2 linked regions of the Caenorhabditis elegans genome follow. The protein of the gene in region 1 interacts with the protein of each later gene in a pairwise test. Each region holds a gene or a part of one and is shown on either strand. Other genes may lie near its edges.

Region 1 (9,971 bases):
GATTTGATCAAGTTTTCAGTCAATACTCTCATTACAGTTCAAAACCACAAAATATTATAAAAATTGAAAAAATTTTAAGATTTTTGAACTTTTCAGTCAAGGTTTTGGTGAATTGCCAAATATTCCAAGTTTGGATTTTTAAAAGAAAATGAGAGAGTTGCATTATGGAAAATAACTTTTTTGGAAAATTGAAACATTTTGATAAAAACCAGTTAGGTAAATGTAGATCCAAATGTGGTGCAAAAAAATTAGACAAACTCTTGTTGATTAACAAGAAAAATATGCAAAAAGTATGAATAGATTACCTGGAACAAAAGCGAGTCGATCCAGCACATGCTGTCGTTGTTTCTGCCAGTTCATCAGAAAATGGACGAAAAATTAAAAAAGTTGGTGGGCCTGTTATTGTTGAACGGTGTGGTTGAAACAAGAACGAATAAAAAGAGAAAGAGAAATGGAATGAATAGGGAAAAGGTACTCTCTGTCTAAGCATAAACAGAATAAAGAGAGAGAGAAGAAGCGATTGACGGGAAAAGGTAAGAGGAGATGGTCGCAGAGACAAAATGATTCAATGTTGCGCAGACGAGAATAACGGTAGGATGAGAGAAAAGGGAAGACCATATCAAAGAAGACATGTTACAGTTTACAGTGCTAATTGATTACCACCATACTGACAACACTTATCACTTGCTTTTTGTCACCTTCTCTCCGCTTTTTGCTTCATTTTTGACACTAATTCAAATTCGAGATTGATGCCTATTGGAAGTCAACTACAAAAGGGCAATGCAATTACTATTAAAGAGAAAGATTGACACTAAAACATAGAAAATGTCATTACGGATTCTGTCAAACTTAAACGAAATGACAATGTGTTCCAAAAGCCGCTATGAAATAAAAGAAAAAATATATATAATCATCATTTTCCGCCAAAATACCAAATATAGTTTTAGATTCAAGAAAAATTGAAACTAGTAAATTTTCCAGTGCTTCAAAGCGTCCGTTTCAGACACATACTGTATCAAAAAAAGTTTGATATTTAATATAACCATTTCATGCAAAATTTTTGGGTTAAACTAGATAGATCATTAAATACAACAACTTTCATTCCTATAAAAACTTTTCGAAAACCGTCATATCGAACAGGTCACACCAATTTTTTTCTTGAAATAACTCGCGTACCTGAAAATTAATTTTTTCATTTTTTGCATGCGAACCTGAAAAAATTGTATTGCCAATGACAGTTTCAATGTCTGCCAAATTTGACTCATTGTGGTCTGTTGTGAGATTTGTTTTGAAATAAAACAAAATTGTATTCTTCCATCTCGTTATATTGTCATTTCAAAATTAATTACTTCAAATATATGAGTATGTAGAGCAAGTTGTCAAAGTATGTATGTGCCGACTGACGAAAATTAGAATTACTGGAAAAAATTACATTGCAAAAAAAATTCAAAATAAACACATTTATTTTGATTTGAAATGTTCACTTTGGACAATCAACGCAATTGATAAATTGTCGCGACATCATAAAAATGTTTTGCAGCTTTGCAAGAGCTATATAAAACTTTACCAAAAACTGATTTAAATTTGCAGAAATATAAGCAAATGTGAGCAAGGTGTAGCTCACGAAATTGCAATAGCCATCTAAAAAATTACAGGAGTTTTCAAACTAAAATGCACATATATATATATATATATATATATATATATATATATATATATAACGGTTGGTATGAAGTTGCAAGATGGCGCTAGGAAGTTTTGTCAAGAAAGTCACTATCGATTAAATTGACTTCGACGTTTCATTCAAAAAAGAGCTGGAGTACTTAAAATTGATTCCAGAGCTTCTTCTTATTATATTGTGTACCTGCTTCTCTGTTTTTAAAAAATATGTATGAAGAATGGTTGAAGAATGTAAATGCATTTTTTAAATGTAATACATTCAGTGTTTTTCGAGGTAGTTGTAAATTTCGATTTCGGCCAGGACCCTTATTCTCACACTCAAAGCGTAATTCTCTATACAAAACACGCACTCTGAGTTATCTTTGTACATTTCTGAATTCAGTACTATGAGCCTCTCCAAGCTTTTTCAAAATGTGACCTATTATTATAACATGGCAACCGACACTCATGTTTTATGGTTTTCCCATAAAACGTTTGATTGCTATTCTATTTTTTGTTTTTTATGCCTTTTTAAATCATGAAATTATACTAATTTTTTCATCGAGGTTCAATAAAATTTTCAAATAAAAGTTCGAATGTTATAAAAAACAATAGTAAATAAGATAATTCATCTTGGTTCAAAATATTTCAAGTTCCATATTTCAAGTTTCATATTTCTGGGATTCTAAAAAATACATTTCCGAACTTTCAGGAAATTATTTTTGTTCAAATGCAGTTCATGATTTTGTTTTAAGTTACAAAAAAACAAACCATTTTCGGGGGAAAATAAGCAAACAATGCAATAGAGCTACTTGGAGGGGACCAATTGAGAATCAATAATCAAACAATTAGGTACCTTGCAAATAGCTCTCCAACATTGAATTCAGTGAATAATTATCAGAAAGTTTGTTTAAAATGTAAGTCAATCTTGTAGCACGAACCAAAATGAACGAAGAGCTATAAAGAGGGCGGAGTCGGGGAGGATTGAACAAAAAATAGGGCGGAGCCGAATTGAAGTGGCAAAGCGAAGAAGTGTCAAGTGGAGGAAGAAGGAAAGATAGGATAAGTACCTGTTGATTTAATATCAATTGATTTCATTGATATTAAATCACTTGGTAATGAAGGTACAAGAGCATTAAGACAGAATATTCAGAAACAAATCTAATAAAATTTGTTTATTAAGGTTAAATCTAAAAATTCGGATCTAGAATCTAGAAAGTCGGGCATAGAAAGACCCATGTTTTCTTCAATTACCTTACTAGGAAACGTTATAACTTAACAATTCAATAGAAAAAATTAACGTGTAATGCAATCCGTGACATATTGAGCTTCAGAATCTGTAATTTATTTTGACGAAAGACTTTTGCGAGTTTGGAATTTTCGTCTAAAAATTTAGTACTGAACCCAGTGTAATTCATATTATTACTATGAATCTCGCCAGCAAAAATTGTAATTTCAACTGAAAAAAATTTAGTACAGGCGCACAAGGGGTCTTCCACTAAAACACATTAGAGATTCTGGAAGGCCAAAATGTCAGCTATCACATAACAGGTTCAATTTTTCATATCCCACGATATAGTTACAAAATTGCTTAGTTCTAGGCAGTACATAAATGCGATTGACTTAAATTTACATGTGGTATTCGAAATATAAATTCCGATTATTTTGAGGAACCCATACTTTTTTTCAACAAAAAACAGTTTAGAATAAAGTTTTGCAGACGTGGAAAAATCTACCCTCTCTCTCAGACGGCAATTTTAAAAATAGTTTATAGATTCTCAAACTCAAGAAGTCAGATTTCGAATAATACGTTTAGTTTCATTTAAAAAAAAAGCGCGAGACACACATATATGTCTCACGCTTACTAGTTAATAAAAAACGTACGAAATGTTTTCAGCGCATTTGTAAAAATAAAATTGAAATTATTTTGCAAATTGCATGTCAAAATGTTGGTAATTAGCAAATATCATCTAAAACATTAGTGGTCAGATATATGTTACAAACGGCAAACATCTGTGCCCATGCATGGGTATCGTACTAGCTAAGAACGAAAATTGGTCCTTATCAAAAGTTCGAAGCATCAATTATTTCTTGTGTTCCATTAGTCTATTCTACAGCATCATCTTGTTCGAATCCAATCCAATTTTCTTCTTCTCCAACTTTTTATTCTCCAAACCCATCTCATTCCCTTATTCAATAAGTACTTCTCTTCCCTCTTCTCTCTTCATCACATCGGTACCTGCTCCTTGTTATGCTCTGAAGATGAGCCGACCTAATCTATTGCACGGTGGGAATTCATCTGCTTCTCTTCATCTTACACACTCTTTCTCTGTTCAATTTTGGCCGACGGCTATGTCCCAAATCTTCTTTCGATTTAAATTCCCCCTTCTGTGCTCTGACCACTTTGAAACCAAGTTTTCGACAAAGTTTTGAAGAAAATAGTTTTACAACAGGGTTAACAAAGTTTGGTGTTTAGCCTTCAGAACAATTGTAAAATTTAAAGTTTTTATTGATCGGAGAAAAAGTGAAATAATGAGATGAAATGGACTGGCAGCATAGTAATGTCAAAATTAGACCGAAGTTGAAAACTTTCTAAATAATCAGTTTTTTAATCATAATAGTCTAATTTCAACTAGTTGAACCCGATTTAAATTCGGTTGGAATGTGATGTTGATATATAAATTATATAATTCCAACTTCTTGAAGCCAAACTGCAGCAAATACAATAATTACAATTAGAATTGGAATGCAGACAGCAATGCAAACAATCCATCCAATTGGAAGTGGCACTGAAATTTCAAAAAAAAAAGATCGAAGTGTTTATATGTAAATGCTCAGGTGTGCAATAGGAAAGTCAAGAATTCAGAAAGTTTTCTCATTCCTAAAACTGAATGTTTTCAAAAACAATCTCAAAAGTTGTTTCAGCAAGATATTCATAATACAAAAAGTATAAACTTTATAGAAATTACTTTTACTCCAAACATTTTGAGGTTTGACAAAAAAACGATTTTTCCGAAAATAAAAACTTACTTTTCCTTTTGGTATTCTCAGGAAGGAACGTGGTGATGGTTGTAGATGGTCGGGCTCTCAGTTCGCATGCAAGTTGGCCTACAAACACATATTTTGAGTTATTAAGAATTTTCTTATTTCAAAATTAAATGGTACTTATTCTCAGAGGACCTAGAGTTTTTAGGGGGCTTCAGGCGGCTTTGTGGCGAATAAAAAGTACAATGTGAAACTGGATTAAAATTTCCTCCGGTACTGGACTTGGAAATTATTACTTCTAATGTTTTTCACAACGATTTTTTAAATATTGCAATATTTATTCAAATAACCGACCATGTTCGGATTGTTGATCTCTTCTGTATTCACATGCCAATCGAGCATTTTCTCTTTCTTCGTATGGATGTGATTGAGGCAACGGATTGCGAAGAATTGAGCTGGGGCGACCTGAAATTTATTCCATTAGTTCTAACATTTTTGAGACCAATTTTATGAGATACACTGTTCATATCGAAAATATCGACAAAGCCTTCTTCTTGCGACTGAAACACTAACACAAAGGTTGTCTCTGGCACATCTCGATTTGATTTGATCAAGAAGCTGTCTTTGACCACAGAATTCAAAAATCTATTGAAAACATTGTAATATACAACTAAAACAAAAGTTCCTTCACTTGAGCGTTTTACATACTTTTCGCAAAACCAAAAAGTATACTTTTCTGCCAACACTTCCTAAGGTTTTCTCAAAAGTTTTTTTTTAAAGAAAACACTTACTTTGTTCTTGATGCAAAGGTTCTCTTCTATATTCACATGAAACAAATTCTCTTCTTTCTGATATTACATTCTGTGGTGGATGTGGAGATTTTCGTTCATATTTTTCAAAAGTTTCTCGTGGATCCAGCATTCTTATCCTTCTGAATAGTTCCAAAACTTTCGACTTGAAAAATTAAAAATTAAATAAAACAAATACCCGACAAAAACAGGTGGTTTTTGAGCATTTTTGAACGGATAGGGCTCATTTGTTAAATATTCAACCATATGGGAAAAGACAAGAGGAAGAGTTAAAAGATAGTACAGAGAAGATTAACATACGCAGAGAAAAGAGGGAATAGCACGTGAAATGGTTACTATGGTAACGGGGAATTCTGGAAGAAGAATGGAAAAATGAAGAAAAAGAAAAATAAGTAAACATGGGACAAGAAGAACAAAAAGAAGAGATCGATGAAGAGGAAGACATTTTGGAATTGGAAGGAGAACGTGCGAGGTCAGGCTGGAGGAGATGACTGGCGGCAATTCAAAACAGGTTGCGAATCGGAAAATATTTGAAATTCGGAGAGAACACAGACATATTGTCTCTCATGTGTCCCTCTAGTGGTGCCATTTCAATAAGCAAAGTGACCTCTCTCCAGTGAACAAGTGAAAGGTGTTTGGATGGATGTCATGTGGAAGTATTAATATGTATACAATACTTTTTAGATTGAGAGTGATTTGTAGAAAACTGAATACAAGAGCATTATGTTCAGTTGTTTACAAAAAAATGCTATGAATGCTACAAATGCTATAAATACTTTCCAGTTTTGGTTTCCAGTTTAGGGTGCAGATTGGGTGCAGTTGGGTGCAGATTGAGATTTTGTGCAATTTTTCTGTTGACGGTACATACTGCTTTTTTGAGCCAACTCCTTTTTGCACTTGTAACACGTTGGCGAAGCTCAATTGTTGCTAGTTCGTCAACTTTGTGCGATGAAGTTTTCTTGCTCTCAGGTTCTCCATAATTCCAAGATTACCAAAATAAAATTTACAGCGAGAGGAAAATTCGAAGCAAATTGATGACCCAGCTCGAGATTCGCAAAGAAGTAAATTGAGTTATTTTTAGTGCCAACCACGTGGTTCTTCAAAATCGACACTTCTGATATTTAAGATGCCACAATGAACGATTTGAATGAAACTACATGGATAAAGAAAACAGAGCAATAGTTAAAAAGAGCAAAAAAAAATCTCAAATCGATCAGAAGATTTGCTCCATGTAGCATTTATAGCATAGCGCCAATTGTTTAAAACCACAGACATTCAAACTTATCGTTGAGTTTTCCTAATTTTTTTTAATTCCTCAATTCCAAAACGCTTAAAATTATTTAAAGTATGATTACCGTGGAGTTTTGACAACCCGCTAAAATACCATGCTCTCCAATGGAGGTGTTTAAATCTGAACAAAATTGTACCAATTGTTTAGAACCACAGATTTAAAAACATGGTTTATCACATTAAAAAATTTCAATTTTTCTGAATTCAAAAAATTTTCAACTTTTTTTCAGTACCGGCATCAGATGACTGAAAAGTCCAAGGGGTGACCTAGACAAACTTATGCCCGGAAACGGTGATATCTTTATGCATTGCAAATGACGAATGTTTTAGAAATGTGCAACTGTATAACAACCTGAATTTTATGTGGTTTTTTTCTGCAAAGATGTTTTTTTTTGGTTATTTTACAGCTGCATTTATTGCAGATATTTTTAAACATAACACTGATTGACCAAGTGTGACCCCCTACTTCTAATATCCTTTACTTTCCTCCCTTCAAGTGTTTATCACTTTACTCAATGATGAGTACATAATCTGAAACATCATGAAGTTTTGGGTGTGTGTCATTTAATAATCACTTATTTCTTTTCCTGATCATCTGGATCATATCACATAGTCAACATCTTATTCCGTTACAATCATTTTTACGAACTTTGTGTGATCCATATCAATGTGAATCGTTTATCCCACACACTTTTTATCGTTTTTATTATTTCTCCGCCACCTTTTTCATAGCTTCACTATTTATTTATTGTAGCTAACATGTGTACTCATAAGCTTATTTTTATTTATTCACACATCAACTTGTGTTTAACTTTTTCAAAATTTGAGAAAATAAAATTAATTTTTCAAACTTATGAAGATGGAAACCTAAAGTGCAGTATTGTAGTCTTCAAAAACCAAAAAAAACCAAGTTACTTTTTAGACTGGAAAGCTCCAATCTCGAAAGCTTAAACGTTGATCTAGAGGTTTTGCGTTGATTTTGTTAGCTACCTACTTTCGAAAGTATATTTTGAGCCTTTCATTTTTCAATTTTAAAATGTCAAAGACCTTACAAGGGAAGGCTCTGAACTCGTTATCGAACTTCGTTACGCCACTATATACATTCGATAGAGAATAGTTACAGATGATCACTCCAAAAAATTTGGCTGCTTCAGAGCAGGTTCGACCAAGTTACTGTAAAACCTAACTTTTTCACCAAAATCGAATAGAAAAATTTCAGAATTTTTTTTCAAAAAAAAAATTCGATTCGACAATTTTGGCAATTGCCGATAGATGATATTAATTCGAAATGTAAAGGTTTTATGAATATCGTCAGTTGAATGGCATCGCCGTCACCTTTACAACTTTTGATTGCTTCTCATTGTCACATCGGTATTTTTTGCATTATTTTCGTTCCGTGTGTGAATGATAAATTGAACGTCAAAAGATGCAGAAAATCAGTTGATATGAACATAGAATGATACGCTCAATTGGCACTTTCGTTTGCGGAAGGGTAATGAACGAGTTTTTTGACGCCATGTTATGTCTTTGAATGCCAATCTTTTGTCACTTTCATTTACTACGGTTTCACGAGATATTTACCGACGTGTGTATGTGGATTATTATGTCAGCTGAGAAACTGAGGTGAATGCTGGATTTATTGGTGGGATTTCTTGGAGGAATCAATAGTTCGGCAATTAGAGTTTTAATATTAAAACAAACGCTCGAAACTATCTAATTTACCAAAATATCATCAAAAACAAAGAAACTTATTGAAAAAAATAACTATTCGAAACGCGATTTTCCAACTCTGAATTTCAAATTAAAAAAACAACAACCTTGACACTTTTCTGTTCTCATCGAAAATTTAAAGTTTACAATTTCGGGTTAGCCACAGGTACAGGCTTTACACATTGTTGTAAAATTGATGACATCTAACATTCCACCTAAGTCATCATAGTTCACTATTTCATTTTTGAAGTCATTTATTTCTATGAACATCTGGGTTATGAGTTAATGATAATAAATAAAAGAAGTTTCTGACAATAGAGAATAGTTGTGAGTAGTCTTTGCTTATCAATGCGAAATAGATCAAAATACAAAACACGGAAAACCGCAATCTGATGGGATTAGTTTGGTACGTTGTGTTCAGCTTCTACCTGATGCTTCACATTCAGATTCACAAGGGTTCAACCAAGGTTCTAAGCCAGAAGGAACATCTTTGATTCGGTCAGAACAAAGTAGGGATGCACACATGCAGGTATTCTAGTTTCCTTCGGGTAATCCTCTGTGCAAACTTAAACACTTTTTGCTCATCTAAACTAGTTTTTGATAATGAATCACTCTACAATCGAAAATCAATTATCAGCTTCAGCTTATCACTACCCAATCCGTAGAATTGTGTTTATTTAAACAGTCTTCCTACCATCAACACGTCACCATGGAATTCTCGGAAGCCAGTCAGTTAAAGGACAGCTATCAATATAGCCGATCGATAGCATCCTTTTATCTTTCCCCGTCTCCAGCATTTTCTTTTCTTGATAACAAGGCGAGGCTTTTCCTTTCTCAATTCTATCAATGCCTGGGATACGCGAGGTCTCGTCTATCATCACAGTCACCACAAGCTTCTCCTTCTTTTTCGGAATCTCCCTCGTTTCGTACGCTGGTTTTCGTTTTATTTCAATTCGTTTTTTATTCGAGTTTTAATGATTTCTGATTAAAACTTCTGATTAAACTAACCATTAAAACTGATTCAGTAAAAATAATTCAAAATCAAAAATGATAATGAGGAATTTTAAGCCATTTTCAAAAAAAATTTGTAAAGTCCGAACGCCCCCAGTCTCTCCTGCAATATTTGTTATCTATTCAATTAATTTTTTCACACTTTTTAATGATCTTCTCCCAATTTGCATGCGTCTATACCGTTTTGATTCTTATCCATTTTCTCTTCCTCCACCCCCAAAAAAGCTTCATTGCCCTTGTTGCGTAATCCCAGATGAATATCTTTTCCGTGAATGACTGACAGACACTGAAACACACGGCACACGAGCCCGGTTTTTCCAAGGCCTTTTTTTGGTCGAAGAGGCTTCATCGTTTCACTGTAATTTACAAGCATAACAATGAGGTATTTAGAAGGCGTTTTTCTTCACCCGGTGGTCATGAACAGACAGTTACTCGTCCAGTTTTACGACACTTTGTCCCTTTTGGCTAAATGGCTACGATAATTAGGAAAAGAATGAGGAAGGGATA
Region 2 (13,666 bases), 7.6 Mb from region 1:
GCAAACAGTTCTCTATGCAAATATTAGTTTCTCGCTGACTCATTCCATCGATTTTTTATTTCGCAACACGCTACCATCATCATATTCCAAACATAAATCATCATCGGTTGTCGCCGAAAAGTTGCGAAAACTCGCTGAAAAAACCAGTAAATGTCGTGAAAATCACGTGAATCCTTTTAAAATTTGAACTTCCCGCCGTGTACAGTTTAAAGTGCGTGTGACGCAGCAAGTGCGCTCCGTTGAGAATCGTGCACTCGAGGCGTTTTTGTCCCAAAATTCAATATTTGTTGGCCTATTTTTCACATTTTCCGATAGGTTTTTTGTTGAAAATGCCAATTTTTATACTAAAAATCTATTTTCCTCAGCGATTCCGCGTATTCCCCAGGCGTTTATCTGCAAAACCGACTCGCTTTCATCTTTTTCCTTCTCAATTTTGAAATTTTTAGCACATATTCTGATTTTCAGGGTTCCCTACAATGGACGTCAATCAATTCACTGAGCTCATCACAAAACTGCAGTCAGCAGACAATGATATCCGAAAACAAGCTGAAGAAGTCTATGAAAAGATTGAAGGACCAACCAAAGTAGCTGCACTTTTCGAGGCCTACACACACCACACGAATAATTCTGATGTTAGTTCACTCAAATTCCTATATATTCCATGAATTTTCGATTTTCAGGCCAGATCCACAGTTTTGGTGTTTCTGCGACGAGTTCTCGCCAGAGACTGGGATGCGATTTGGGAAACGCTGAACGAGGAGAACAAACAGCGCATTCTCGCCAAAGTTCTCGAGATGATAGTTCACGAGACCGAACTCTCGATTAAGAAGAAGATTGCTGATTTGATCTCTGAAATCGCTTCAAACCTCATCGACGATTCTGGAGATATGACATGGGGAGGAGTCCTCGAGCTGATGGATCATTGTTTGAAGAGCGAGGATCTTACCGGAAACTACATAGCCCTGCTTATTCTTCGCGGATGCCCAATAATTTTTGGAAACAGGCTGGCCCACTTCCTTCCAACCCTCAAAGTTGTCTTGGAAAAGTGCATGGCTACACCGGATTTGCAAATCAAGGCCACCGCCGTCCGTGCTGTTATCGCTTTCGCTGTTGATAATGATGAGGAGAAGGATGTTGTCAGGCTTATGACCTCTCTTGTTCCAAATGTTCTTCAAGTTTGCAATGAAACCAGCGACGAGGATGATTCAGATGGACCACTCGGAGAGTTCGCCGAGCTCGCCTCTTCTCTGCCAAAATGCCTTAACACTCATATGTCTCAGGTTCTTCAAGTCACTCTTGCTGTAAGTAATTTAAATGGCCCAATTTAAAAATTTCATTTTTTCAAATTTCAGATTGCTGGAAACAAGGAAAAGAACGAGATGGTCCGTCAGAACGCCATCGAAGTTATTTGCTCGTACATGGAATCCGCACCAAAAGGACTCAAGAAATACGCACCAGGAGCTCTTGGACCAATTCTCGAGACTCTTCTTTCATGCATGACCGAAATGGATGACGATGTGCTCAATGAGTGGCTCAACGAGATCGAAGAGGAAGAAGACTATGAAGAGTAAGGATAAATTTTTAGTTTTTCTTCAATTAAATTATTTTTCAGTATCCCAATCATCGCCGAAAGCGCCATCGACCGTGTTGCTTGCTGCATCAACGGAAAAGTGATGCTCCCAGTGTTCCTTCCACTTGTCGAGAAGCTTTTGACCAGCGAAGACTGGAAGATGAAGCACGCGGCTCTTCGCGCGTTCTCCGCCGTCGGTGAAGGGTGCCAAAGATCTATGGAACCACACATAGAGCAAATTATGGCTCATATCACCAATTACGTCAATGATGCTCATCCAAGAGTTCAATACGCGGCTTGCAACGCCATCGGACAAATGTCTTCTGACTTCGCTCCAACTCTTCAGAAGAAGTGCCACGCCGCCGTCATACCAGCTCTTCTCGAGTCTCTTGACAGAACCGATGTTCCACGTGTCTGTGCTCATGCCGCTTCGGCTCTTGTCAACTTTGCCGAGGAGTGCCCAAAGAGCATCATTGGACAATATCTTCCATTCATTCTTCAGAAACTCGAAAATGTGCTTTCCGCTGTGTTCAATCGTCTCGGAGACAAGAGATACCAGGTTGTCGTTGAGAACATCGTCACCGCCATCGCCTCCGTCGCTGAAGCCGCCGAGGAGCTCTTCAAGGAACATCATGCTCGCCTCATCCCGAACCTCGTTCACATTCTTCAAAACGTCGGAGAGCTCAAGGAGTTGAGAGGAAAGACCATCGAATGCATCTCTCTCATCGGATATGCTGTCGGAAAGGAACAATTCCACGCTACTGCAATCGAGATCCTGAACCTTCTCGGAGACGGAATGAAGGATTTGGCTATCGATGATCCACAATACAGCTACATGATCAGCTCATGGACTCGTTTCTGCTCTATTCTTGGAGCCGATTTCGCACCATTCCTCCCAGTTGTCATGGATCCAGTTCTTCGTGCCGCTCGTTACCGCCCAGACTTCAATATCTTCAACAGTGAGTGTTTTTTAGTTTTACGTGTTAAAAAAATATATAAATTTCAGACGAAGATGTTCACGAAAACGAGGAAGGAGTTGAATACCACGGAATCGGAGGAGAAAAGACTGTCGGAATCCGCACCAGCGGTCTTGAGGAGAAGGCAACTGCTTGCGATATGCTTGTCGCGTTCGCCAAGGAGATGAAGGAGGCTTTCATGCCATACGTCGTCGACGTCTACGAGCTCGCCATCAAGAATCTCGATTTCGGACTTCACGACGGAGTTCGTACGGCTTCCGCTGAAATCATGCCATGCTTGTTGACCTGTGTTGAGAAGCAAGGATTGGCTGACAAGCGTCGTTTGTGGTGCGAGTTCTTGAAGGCATTGACGACCTCTATGGAGGAGGAGGACGATGTCGAGATTCTCGCCTCGTTCATGACGACCATCGGATCGTGCATTGAGGTTATGAAAACCGAGGGAATCGCCGAGGAAGAGGTTCAACTCATCATTTCGGTGCTTCTCAAGCAACTTGAAAACTACGGAAAGAGAATGAGCGATCGTCCAGTTGAAGATGAAGATGACGATGATGCTGAAGCTAAGGAGGAGCTCGATTATTTCATGGAATTGGAGGCCTCATGCCTTGGAGCCATCTCTGATTTGACTCACTCTCTTATGAAGGAGTTCAAGGGAACTATCTTCGAGGGAATGATCAACGTGTTCAACTGTGCCATTCAACTCATCGAGGGATCCAAACAATACTTCGAGAGACAATGGGGAATGTGCCTTCTCGATGACGCCATCGAGTTCGGTGTCGGACATATGCCAACTCGCTTCCCGAAGCTTATTCCAATAATGTACAAGTTGTTGGGAGATGAGTATCCTGAAGTGAGACAAGCAGCGAGCTACGGTTTCGGAGTTATGGCCATCAACTACCACCAGATCAGCGACTACCGAAACGAGATTTTGAGCTGTTTGGAGCCACTGGCCGCCATGATTCAACGAGAGGACGCCCGAGCCACCGAGGAGAGCACTGTTGCCACGGAAAACGCGATTTCTGCATTTGCCAAAATCATCGGCAATGTGCCACTTCCTGCTGAAGCCTACGGAAAGGTTGGTTTTAGAATTCAGTTTTTCAAGAAAAAAGTTCCATATTATTTCCAGGTCGTCGAGATGTTCCTGAGCTGGTTGCCAACATATTCAGACACCGAGGAAAGCCCCTACATTTACACGTGTCTCGCCGAATTGTTTGATAAACAAGACGCCGCACTTTTTGGACCAGAAAATCAGAATCTTCCGAGAATCTTCCTTGTTTGTAAGTTCTAATCTAAAAAAATCCGTAACTTATTTTATTTTTATTTGTATTTTTCAGGCTTGCTCTCAATCGCCAACGATGCTTTCAACGACGACGATAGCGGCAACCAAACCAAGCAAAGAATTGTCACAATCCTGAAGCAAATCTACGCATCGTTCCCACAATTCGCGCAGCAAGATGGAATCGACGAGCACCTTACCAGTGTCCTTCAACAAACTCTCAATGGGCAATAATAAGGACTTTTGTTGTGTTTTTTTTTTTGCTGTTATCTTCTCCATCTTCACCGAAATGAATCTTGTTCACTGTTAATCGCTTGTTTCGCGGCTATCCTCCTATCATCATCATCAGTTTCTTCTTTTGTTCCACCACTTCTCCCCGATGCCACATTTTCTCTAATTTTTATTAGTTACCTATCGACTTTTTTTCTGTTGTGTTGAATATTATCCTCATTTTCAAATCTACTCGTTAGTTGTTACAGTTAAAGTTTTTGAAAATAATTTCAGCCAAAACCTCCACTTTCTCCTATACTCCAAATCTAAAAGTCATTCTTCCGTAGTCCTCATTGTTCCCCCTTCCACCCAACTCTCTCCCACCACAGAATATCTCTTCTGTCACTTGAAGACTATCCTCGATAAAGAGAGCTATTGGCGGTTACCCCCTCTTCTCTTCTCTTCTCGTTTGTCATTGGAGCGCGCTTACACGCAGCAAACTGTAGCTCTTATCTAGTTTTGCGATAGAATTCCGTTATCGTGAAAAGTTGCAATTTTGACATTCTCGTCCTAAATTTCCAATTGACAGCGCTTTGACTTTTTCTATGATTTTTTAATTCATACTCAATTCTGAATAATGACTCCTGAAGGGCAATCGACGAGGTGAGAGAAAAATCGATAATGTTAAAAATTCGCGGGTTTTTCGAGAAAATATTATACGTTTGTGAAAAAAATTCGAATCGAGACCCAAACGAGGCGGCATGAGTTTCTGAAAAAAATATATATATGGATTCAAGATTTAAAAAGTGCATTGTTTTTAAATTTATAATGCTGGAAATATTACCCAAATGCGAAAATACGGTACCAGGTCTCGAAACGACCAATTTTTTAAAAATAAAAACAAGCGTGCGCCTTTAAGGGAGTACTGTAGTTCTCACATTTGCAAATTCTTTCAAAAAAATCATGATGCTTTGAAAACAACTATCGATGAAAATTTAATTTTTTGAAAAAATTGATACAACTTTTTTGGTATATGAAAAACGGGCAATATTTTCGGAATTTCGAAAATTAAATTAAATTTTATGAAAAGTCGATAAAAATCGATACATTTTTGTTTGAAATTGCACAAATTCAAATTTTAGAATCTAGAAATCTATAAATTCAAATTTTTTAATCCAGAAAATCGATTATTTTCTCAAAAAATTGAAAATACTCTTCAGATTCATCTTTTTTGTGGAATATTCAAATTTTTGGGAAACCTCTGATTTTTGAAAATTCCATTTTTAAATCAGAATTATTACGGCAACACAAAATTCTGAGAATGCGTATTGCGCAACATATTCGACGCGCAAAATATCTCGTAGCAAAAACTACAATAATTCTTTAAATGACTACTGTAGTGTTTGTGTCGATTTACGGAAATCATTCATTAGTCGATAAATTGTTTTTTAAAAAACACAAAAAAAATGAAAAAACCGAAACCCCGTAAATCGACACAAGCTTTACCGTAGTGATTTAAAGAGTTACTGTAGTTTTCGCTACGAGATATTCTGCGCGTCAAAAATGTTGTGCAATACGCATTCTCAAAATTTCGCGGTCTTGTAATAATAGTGATCATGCCACTCAATACATCAAATTTGACGCGCAAAACTCGACTTTTCAGCAGTAACCCACCTCCTGTTCAATACTATAACACGTTTCCGGACGATGATAATTTACCGCCAGAATATGGACCATTTGATGAAGTTGAGCCGCTTATCGAGGCCGAGCAACCCATGAAAATCCGTACTTTAGTCGCGGCGGTCGGCTTAACGGTTCTCGTATTCACGTTGTTAATCTCAACGGTCGCATTCGCTTCATTGTATTTTCATTTACTAATGCAGGTTTGTTAGAAAGCTAGGCCACGAGGGTGAAAACTAGTCCGCAGTCGGTTCATGGCTGGCCGATTTGCTACGTGGCCGATAAAAATAAAACTCGGCAAGGTTTCCAGAACAATGCCCGCCTACCCCGTTGGCCTGGACCATCACTTTCTCCACTCGGAAAATATTCGAAAGCCGCCGTCGCCGCCGACAACGAAATTTGCTCAGAAATCGGTCGGAATATTTTGCTGAAAGGCGGAAATGCGGTGGATTCGGCAATCGCCGCACTTTTCTGTATCGGTGTAATGGATACACATTCGGCCGGAATTGGCGGCGGACATTTTATGACTATTTATAATGCGTGAGTTGTTGGTCTCGCCACGAATTGGAGCGGAACATCAATAATTAAAAAAAAAGATAATTATTAATATTGATTTTTCAACTAAAAATCAATAATCGAAAAGGAAAACAAAGAAGAAAAATTTTGGAAGAAAGAATGATTTTCCTAGGCCATTAAAAACATTTTTGCAAACATCACATTGTGGCCTCACTGGTTTCTGGCCTTCGTCAAAGCGTTTTTCTCGCGCTCCATTGACAATCGTCTACACGACGCTCCGTAAATTTACCCCGGTCGTGGCCTAGTCCAAACGGGCTAACTCGGCAAACTCTTCCATTTCAAAATATGAGGAAAGCCAGAAGCGCGTGTGGCCTTTAAACTTCTGCCGTGGCCTAAAAATATTTTCAATGACTTAGAAACCTCTAAAATTCTTCCAGAACGACAAAAGAGTGTACGGTAATCGATGCTCGGGAGATTGCTCCGCTCGCCGCAACAGAGGAAATGTACCGTGACAAATGGAATCAGTCGAGAATCGGATGGAAGGCGATTGCGGTGCCCGGAGAGCTTCACGGCCTCCGGACTGAATTCGAGAGATTCGGAAGTGGAAAAGTCGAGTGGAGACAGTTGTTGAAACCAACTATTGATTTGTTGGCTGAAGGTGGGCACTTTTTCTGCGAGCCTAGAATATTTCTGTTGGCCTAAAAAACTCCTAACGGCGTAGAACATTTTTGATGCTCAAAAACTTTTCTGGTGGCCGTTTTTAGACCGGCCAACAATCCCTAGGGGTAACGGATAACGGGGGCAACGGATTTAATATTCCCCGGGGACAACGAAAAAGGGGGGGGGCAACGGATTCAACGCTGCTCGAAGGCAACACAACAGGGGTAACGGAAATGGAGGCAACAGAACAATAATCCCTGAGGGCAACAAAAAGCGAGGCAACGGAATATTGAGCTCTTGGTAAGTTAAATGTTGAACTTTTTGTAAAAATCAGTTTAAAAGTTTCTCCAATTACTGTGTACGTTAAGATGGGTATCACAATAAGTCTCACCACGGCGTGTCTCACCACGATGGGTCTCATCACGATGGGTCTCTCAACGGAGGGTCTCGCCACGATGGGTCTCACCACGATAGGCCTCGTCACGATGGGTCTCGTCACGATGGGTCTCGCCACGATGGGTCTCGCCACGATGGGTCTCACCACGAAGGGAGACGGGCCCAAATTTTTTCAGGAGGAGAAGACGAGTAGTTTATTACATTACTAAAAATTTCTAGACCATCAAAAAATTTCTAGGTCACCATAAAAATTCTAGGCCATCATAAAAATTTCTAAGCCATCATGAAAATTTCGAGGTCACAAAATAAGTAACTATGTTATCGGTTCATGTTTCTAGGCCATCCTAAAAAATTCCAGGCTACCCAACGTCCCATGCCCTTGCAAAAGCTCTCAACCAAAACGAGCACCAAATCCGCGCGGAGCCCACCATGAAAAACTTCATCAACCCCGAAACTCAGCGTGTCTTCCAACCAGGAGAGCAGATAAAAACCCGCCAAAACCTTCTAGAAACATTCCGGCTACTCGCAAACTCCACAGATCCCATCGCCGACTTTTATACAGGTCGGCTCGCCGAGCAACTCGCCAAAGAGTTCGAAGCCAACGGTGGGATCATCCGGCTTCAGGACTTTAAAAATTACAAATCAATAGTCCACGACTCAAAAAATGTGATCTACACAAAGCTGAAAAACGGGCGCGGAGTCTGCGGCCCGCCGCCTCCCTCGGGCTCAGCGGTGGCTCAGGCAATACTTAACGTGATGGATGGCTTCGAATATAACATGAAGTCGTTCAACGAAATCGCAACGTTATACCATCATTTTCTGGAATCTAGCAAATTTAGTTATGCGGCTAGAAGCTGGCTTGGCGACCCGCAATTCGTGGCAAACGCCACGGAAATCGCCAAAAATATTACGTCAAAAGAGTGGGCGGATTGGGTTAGGTCGAAGATCACAGACACGACGCATCCTGATGATTACTATGGAGGATCGTTTGAAGCACCACCGCAGGATCATGGAACAACTCATGTATCGATTATCGATGCAGACGGCAATGCAGTTTCGGTTACGTCTACCATTAACTTATAGTGAGTTTGGCTTTTTTAAAGGAAATTTTTGGTGGCCGAACTTCGAAAACTCGGCCAGCAAGTGAGAAGTTAGTCCTCAGTCGACAAGCAACTGCAGTTGATAAAAATGAACAAGTTCGAGGTCGTCACCAAAAATTTTAAACTAATTAGGCCAGGGGATGATTTTAGGCAGTCTTAATAGTAAATTGTTTACCACCTGGATTTTATACCGAAGTGATTTCATAATCTGGGCCACGTGTATAATTTCTAGACCATCAACCAAAGTTTATATACGCCCACCTGAAATTTGGAGGCCATCACCTTTCAATTCTAGGCCATCAGTTAAAAACATTTTTAGGACGACGTTCAATTTTTAGGCCATCAGTTCAAGTTTATAGGCCACAAACTTAAATTTCTAGGCCATCACTTTGACTTTTTCGGATATGAAGACATTTTCTAGGCCACCGCCAAAAAAACTCTTCCACCATCTCAAATTCTTCCAGCCTGGGTGCCCTAGTATCCTCCGAATCGACGGGAATTCTCTGGAATAACGAAATGGACGACTTTTCCACTCCCGGTCATCCGAATTTCTTCGGTTTCCCACCGTCTCCCGCCAATTTCATTCGCCCTGGAAAACGCCCCATGAGTAGTCAAAGTCCATTAGTGATCTTTAACACAAAAGGGGCGGAGCTTATGGCGGTCGGCGGAGCCGGTGGATCCACCATTATTTCGGGTGTTGCTGGAGTTGCACTGCATGCGTTATGGCTGAAAGCAGATGTTAAACAAGCTGTTGATGCTCCAAGGATGCACAATCAGTTACAGGTAGAGAATTACACGCGAAATTTGATTTTTTTTTTGTTGGAAAAATCGATAATTGTCAAAAAGTTGATTTTTTAAAAATAAAAATCAATAATTTTCAGAAAAAAAACTTCTGAATTTAATTTTCAATCAATTTTCGACTTTCACATGAAATATTTTTCAATCAATAAAATCAAAACCTTTCCCAATTTCCTTATTTTTTAGCCAAATTACACGTGGTACGAGCCAAACTTCCCGAAAGCCTACGTGAAATCCCTGATCGATCGTGGTCACGTAATGAAGGCAGTGAACAATTTGACAGTTGTCACCGCCGCCGAACGACTTTCCGACGGCCAAATCTATGCGAACAGTGATTTCCGAAAAGGGGAGGAGTCAGCGCCAGCGGGATATTGATTATTATGTTCATATTTTAAATTTTGTGACTTTTTTGTTGATTTTTTGTAGAAATCGGGTGAAATTTGAAAATAAATGTTCTAGTTTTCGCACTTGTGTTAACACTTTTTTACTGGTCTTGTGGCCGCGTAAATAGGAAACTCGGCCATCGATTTTTTAGAACATTTTTTATCTTAAGAAAAACTCTTTTCATAATGTTGTGTATTCGAAGGCGAGACGAGGAGGAGAAGACGAGTAGTTTATTACATTACTAAACTAAGGAATAAATAAGTTAGTTCATAGAGTTCACGTTGTACGATCTTCTTAGCCACGTCGTGGGTCAATACACGTTGATACCCAACACATAAATAGTAAGTTTAGTCAGGGTTTTTCAGTTTTCAAGCCAAAAATTTGTCTGTAAAAATTCAAAAAAGGAAACAAAGTTTTTTTTTAAATTAAAATTCTTCATATAAATTCAGAGTTTTAAAACTTCAAACCCGTAACAATGAACGAGGTACAAATGAGACAAGGTGAAACATATTACACGTTCGTCAAAATTTTTTTTCGAGGAAAGTGTAATAATACATGAACCCATAATAAAACGCGATGATGTTGACGATGATGATGATGATGCAGAGCAAAAAATGATGACAGAATTATGAGAAAAAAACGAATAAAATTTCAAAATCCTAAGCTTTCGGGCTCTGTGAGCCATGGAAAAATGAGCCAGAACACAAAAAAAGGAAAATATGGAAAAAAGCACCAGAAAATTATAAGACACGGGGATTTTTTGACACATGGAGTAGAAGAAAAAAAAAGAAAGAATTGAGCTAGATTCCTTTAAACATCCGGCAGATTCCATGACCATGTTAACCGTAATTCGTTGAGTCGAGTTGTGATATTTCGTCCTGTATCCCGGCATGCGACCAAATATTTATTATTTTTGGACCATTGATTTGCGAACAGTTTGTTGACCAGTTTATCGCAGAAGACCTACAAAATTTGGATTTTTTTTCAATTTTTACACAAAAAAATCAAGAAAAACTTTGTTTTTTAGAATGCAAAATAAATGTATAAATTCTAGGAGTTTGAACTTTTTAATTAATTTTTTCTTTTACGTTTTGAAAAAAAGGAACTACAGGCCTGTCCGGGAAATTGTAAAGTTGAAAAAAATTTTCCTAACAATTTCACAACTTTTTTCCTATTACAAAGTAAATAGGTAAATTTTTTTCTGATAGTGGAAGTTAAATTCTACAAAATAAACTCCTTTCAATCAAAAAAAAAATCACATTTCTGACTGAAAATTCTCAAATTTTCAGTTTTTCTTTAGAAAAAATTCGGAAAATTCACTTTTTTAAAAATTTTTTGTCAGTCGTTCGTTTTTTGAGAATTAAAACTTTTAGGAAATTTCTATATTTTTTTTGAAAATTCAATTTGAACATCAGAATGTGATTTTCGATTTTTGGAAAAATCAAAAAGGTTTTTGTCGAATTTATTGGTTTTTTATGAATATTCATCAATGCTGTTGCTTTTTTAGCAATTTTTCACAGGTGGACGAACTTTTGCAAACTATGAAAAATTCGGCCATCTGGAAAAAAGCTCGTTTTTTGCCGATTTTATTGATTTTTCACAATTTTTCCAAACTTTTTCAACTTTCAAGCTTACCTCCAAATTCCCGTTACTCCTCGACGAGCACACCATATTAGAAGTGCATCTCGCCTCACAGTCTCCAATTTTACAATCATTATCACTTTCACACGGACGTCCTTTTAGGAGAGAATCCAATTTCGATTTCGTGTACACCATGTCACCGTCCATTAGAGCGAATCTGCAGAAAAATTGAGAAATTTGGATTTTTAGGGGTTTTCAAAATTTGAGTTTCCGGTTGGATTATCATCAATTTTTTTGTTTAAAAAATCATTAATAACTTTTATTCGAATTACGTTTCGAATAATTGAAAATGTAGATTTTTTCGGAAAAAAAAATCAAATAAAAAAACAGGCAGACCTACCTTTTCGGATAATCTGCTGATAACCCGAGATTATCAAATCGAACATCACACCATTGAAGGGGTTCGTCGAGAAATTCGTATAAGAGCTTCAGGGTTCCCATGACATGCACCAAGATTTTTGCCTGTAAATTTGGATTGAGAAAATTTTTTTTTTAAAATCAAGTTAAAAAAAAATCCCCACCTTCAAATTCGTATAATACCCTTTCATCTTGAACGCCACCAGTGACTCAGTCTGATACATATGTCCACACGTCCCAATGAGCTTCGGCGTGACACGTGTCAACGGTAACACTCGGAACAGGATGAATTCAGGCTGCTTTAACAAAGCCCACAAGGATCGTCGATCCGCTTTCGACATGGCTTCTCCCTTGGTCCGTAACAGTGTCGGCCACACAGTCTCCATTAAATGCCGTCGATAGTGTTTCGGCCATCCGAGTCTCAGCTCATCATTCACCATATCGACTACTCGATCCGAGAACTCTGCATCCGTCAGATGGTCTTTCGGCTCGTCGAATTGATCCATAAACGGTTTTGTGCTTTTATAGACAGCAATCTGTCCGCCATCTTTCACTATGACCACAGTCTTGTGCCCTTCGTAAAAGTCAGTGACAAGCCAGTTTCGATCATAGCAAAGTCGATTACAAGAGTCTCCGGAAACGTCTCCTCGCTCATAGGCATCACATAATCCGGTGAGTACTTGATTGGCTCTGTAAAATCGAAATGTCTAATAAATTATCAAGAAATTTGATTCAATATGAAATTCGGTGTTTTCAGAAAATTTCGAGTAAAAAAAAACTAAAACAACAAAACATTTTGACGACACCATACGATAATGATACTATTCATAAAATAGTTATTTTTCTGTTTTTTTTTTGCGATTTGCATCAACTCTTCATAAGTATGTCGTAAAACATTGTGTTAAAACTCTAGGAATGCCGAATTATCGGAGTTGGGAGGGGAAAAAGTGATACTTCTTTACCAAAAACACAGTTAATATAGTAGAAATTAATTGTGAACTCAATAAGTGTGGAATTATCGAGCAATTTCCTACAATAGTAATATGTTCCCAACATTCTCACCTTGTTAAATTAATACCAGGCCGCGGCTCGTTGAGGTCCGTCTTGTGTGTGCTTTCGGAGGGCGTTAATGCTGAAAATTCATTGTGTAAACTCAGATAAATTTGAATAATATGTATTTAAACCAACCTGATATGATAAGATATAATACAATGATTGACATGACAAGGATGGCGATCTTCCCGACTCGTGAGCAGCACGCGATTCGCCACGCCTCCTCGCCACACTCTTGTTCGCACCTGAAACGATTGTGGTAATTTCTTGAGATGGTGATATTGAAAAGCCACGTGTCAAGTATATATTTTATAAAATAGGCTCTAGAAGCACCAAAACTAATTTTGTGCCGTAAATTCGGCTTCAAATTGTTCTTTCCTTGCTATAAGTTACGGCAATTGCAATCAACAGAAATTCAGAACTCAGAAATATCTCGAACGGATGTGAATTTGAGTAAGGCTCAGTCTACTGATTTTTCACTATTTCATACATATTCAAATTTCTATCACCGTAATCTATAGCAATGACAGTTTAGGCCAAATTTTTGACACATCACTTATTACAGTACTCCTAGAGACCCTACAGAAATTCGAACCTAAATCCGTCTAAAACTGAGCTATAACAAGCTATATGGAGTTCAGCAACGAGATATGAAGCGGGAGGATACGCTGCTGTGCAGAAGGCTTCAGTGAAGCGGAAGACCTTTTATGGCAGCAGTAGAAGAGGATGAATACTCGAGTAAGTGCAGGAAGAAAAAAATGGAAGGGCAGGAACGGGAAGAAAATGGAGATTCCGGAATATTTAAATACCCAATTATTATTTTTGATCGAGTTTTTAGTTTTTAGAAAAAAAACATTTCTTGCATTTTTTCGCGACAAATTTAAACTTTTAGAGAAAAGGGAGCACCTGTTAATAAATAGGTATACCAAAAAACGTATATTTTACATGTTTTGACAGTCTCGACTGTCTCTGTTTTGCTCCGGCTTAGCGTGAAAATATGTAGGAAAATGGTTAAAAATGAATGTTCCAGAAGAAAGAAACCGTTTTTATA

Evidence for each region.
Region 2: the proteins of F55D12.1 (region 1) and C53D5.5 interact in a two-hybrid assay, tested with the Caenorhabditis elegans proteins (one large-scale study listed by BioGRID).

What each region holds. Positions count from the first base shown.
Region 1 is NC_003279.8:7,879,946-7,889,916, reverse strand, and holds F55D12.1 (uncharacterized protein), read right to left. Parts: upstream 5,599-9,971; 5' UTR 5,566-5,598; coding exon 5,436-5,565; intron 5,110-5,435; coding exon 4,999-5,109; intron 4,768-4,998; coding exon 4,690-4,767; intron 4,449-4,689; coding exon 4,342-4,448; 3' UTR 4,153-4,341; downstream 1-4,152. Other genes in the region: F55D12.2 (CRAL-TRIO domain-containing protein), read right to left, coding at 306-360.
Region 2 is NC_003279.8:301,789-315,454, reverse strand, and holds C53D5.5 (Gamma-glutamyltranspeptidase 1), read left to right. Parts: upstream 1-4,664; 5' UTR 4,665-4,667; coding exon 4,668-4,693; intron 4,694-5,693; coding exon 5,694-5,913; intron 5,914-6,020; coding exon 6,021-6,250; intron 6,251-6,663; coding exon 6,664-6,884; intron 6,885-7,640; coding exon 7,641-8,364; intron 8,365-8,846; coding exon 8,847-9,165; intron 9,166-9,366; coding exon 9,367-9,555; 3' UTR 9,556-9,644; downstream 9,645-13,666. Other genes in the region: imb-3 (Importin N-terminal domain-containing protein), read left to right, coding at 477-632, 681-1,301, 1,353-1,567, 1,613-2,529, 2,577-3,619, 3,671-3,821, 3,879-4,054; C53D5.1 (FAM69 protein-kinase domain-containing protein), read right to left, coding at 10,375-10,527, 11,200-11,362, 11,546-11,667, 11,727-12,252, 12,625-12,694, 12,751-12,860.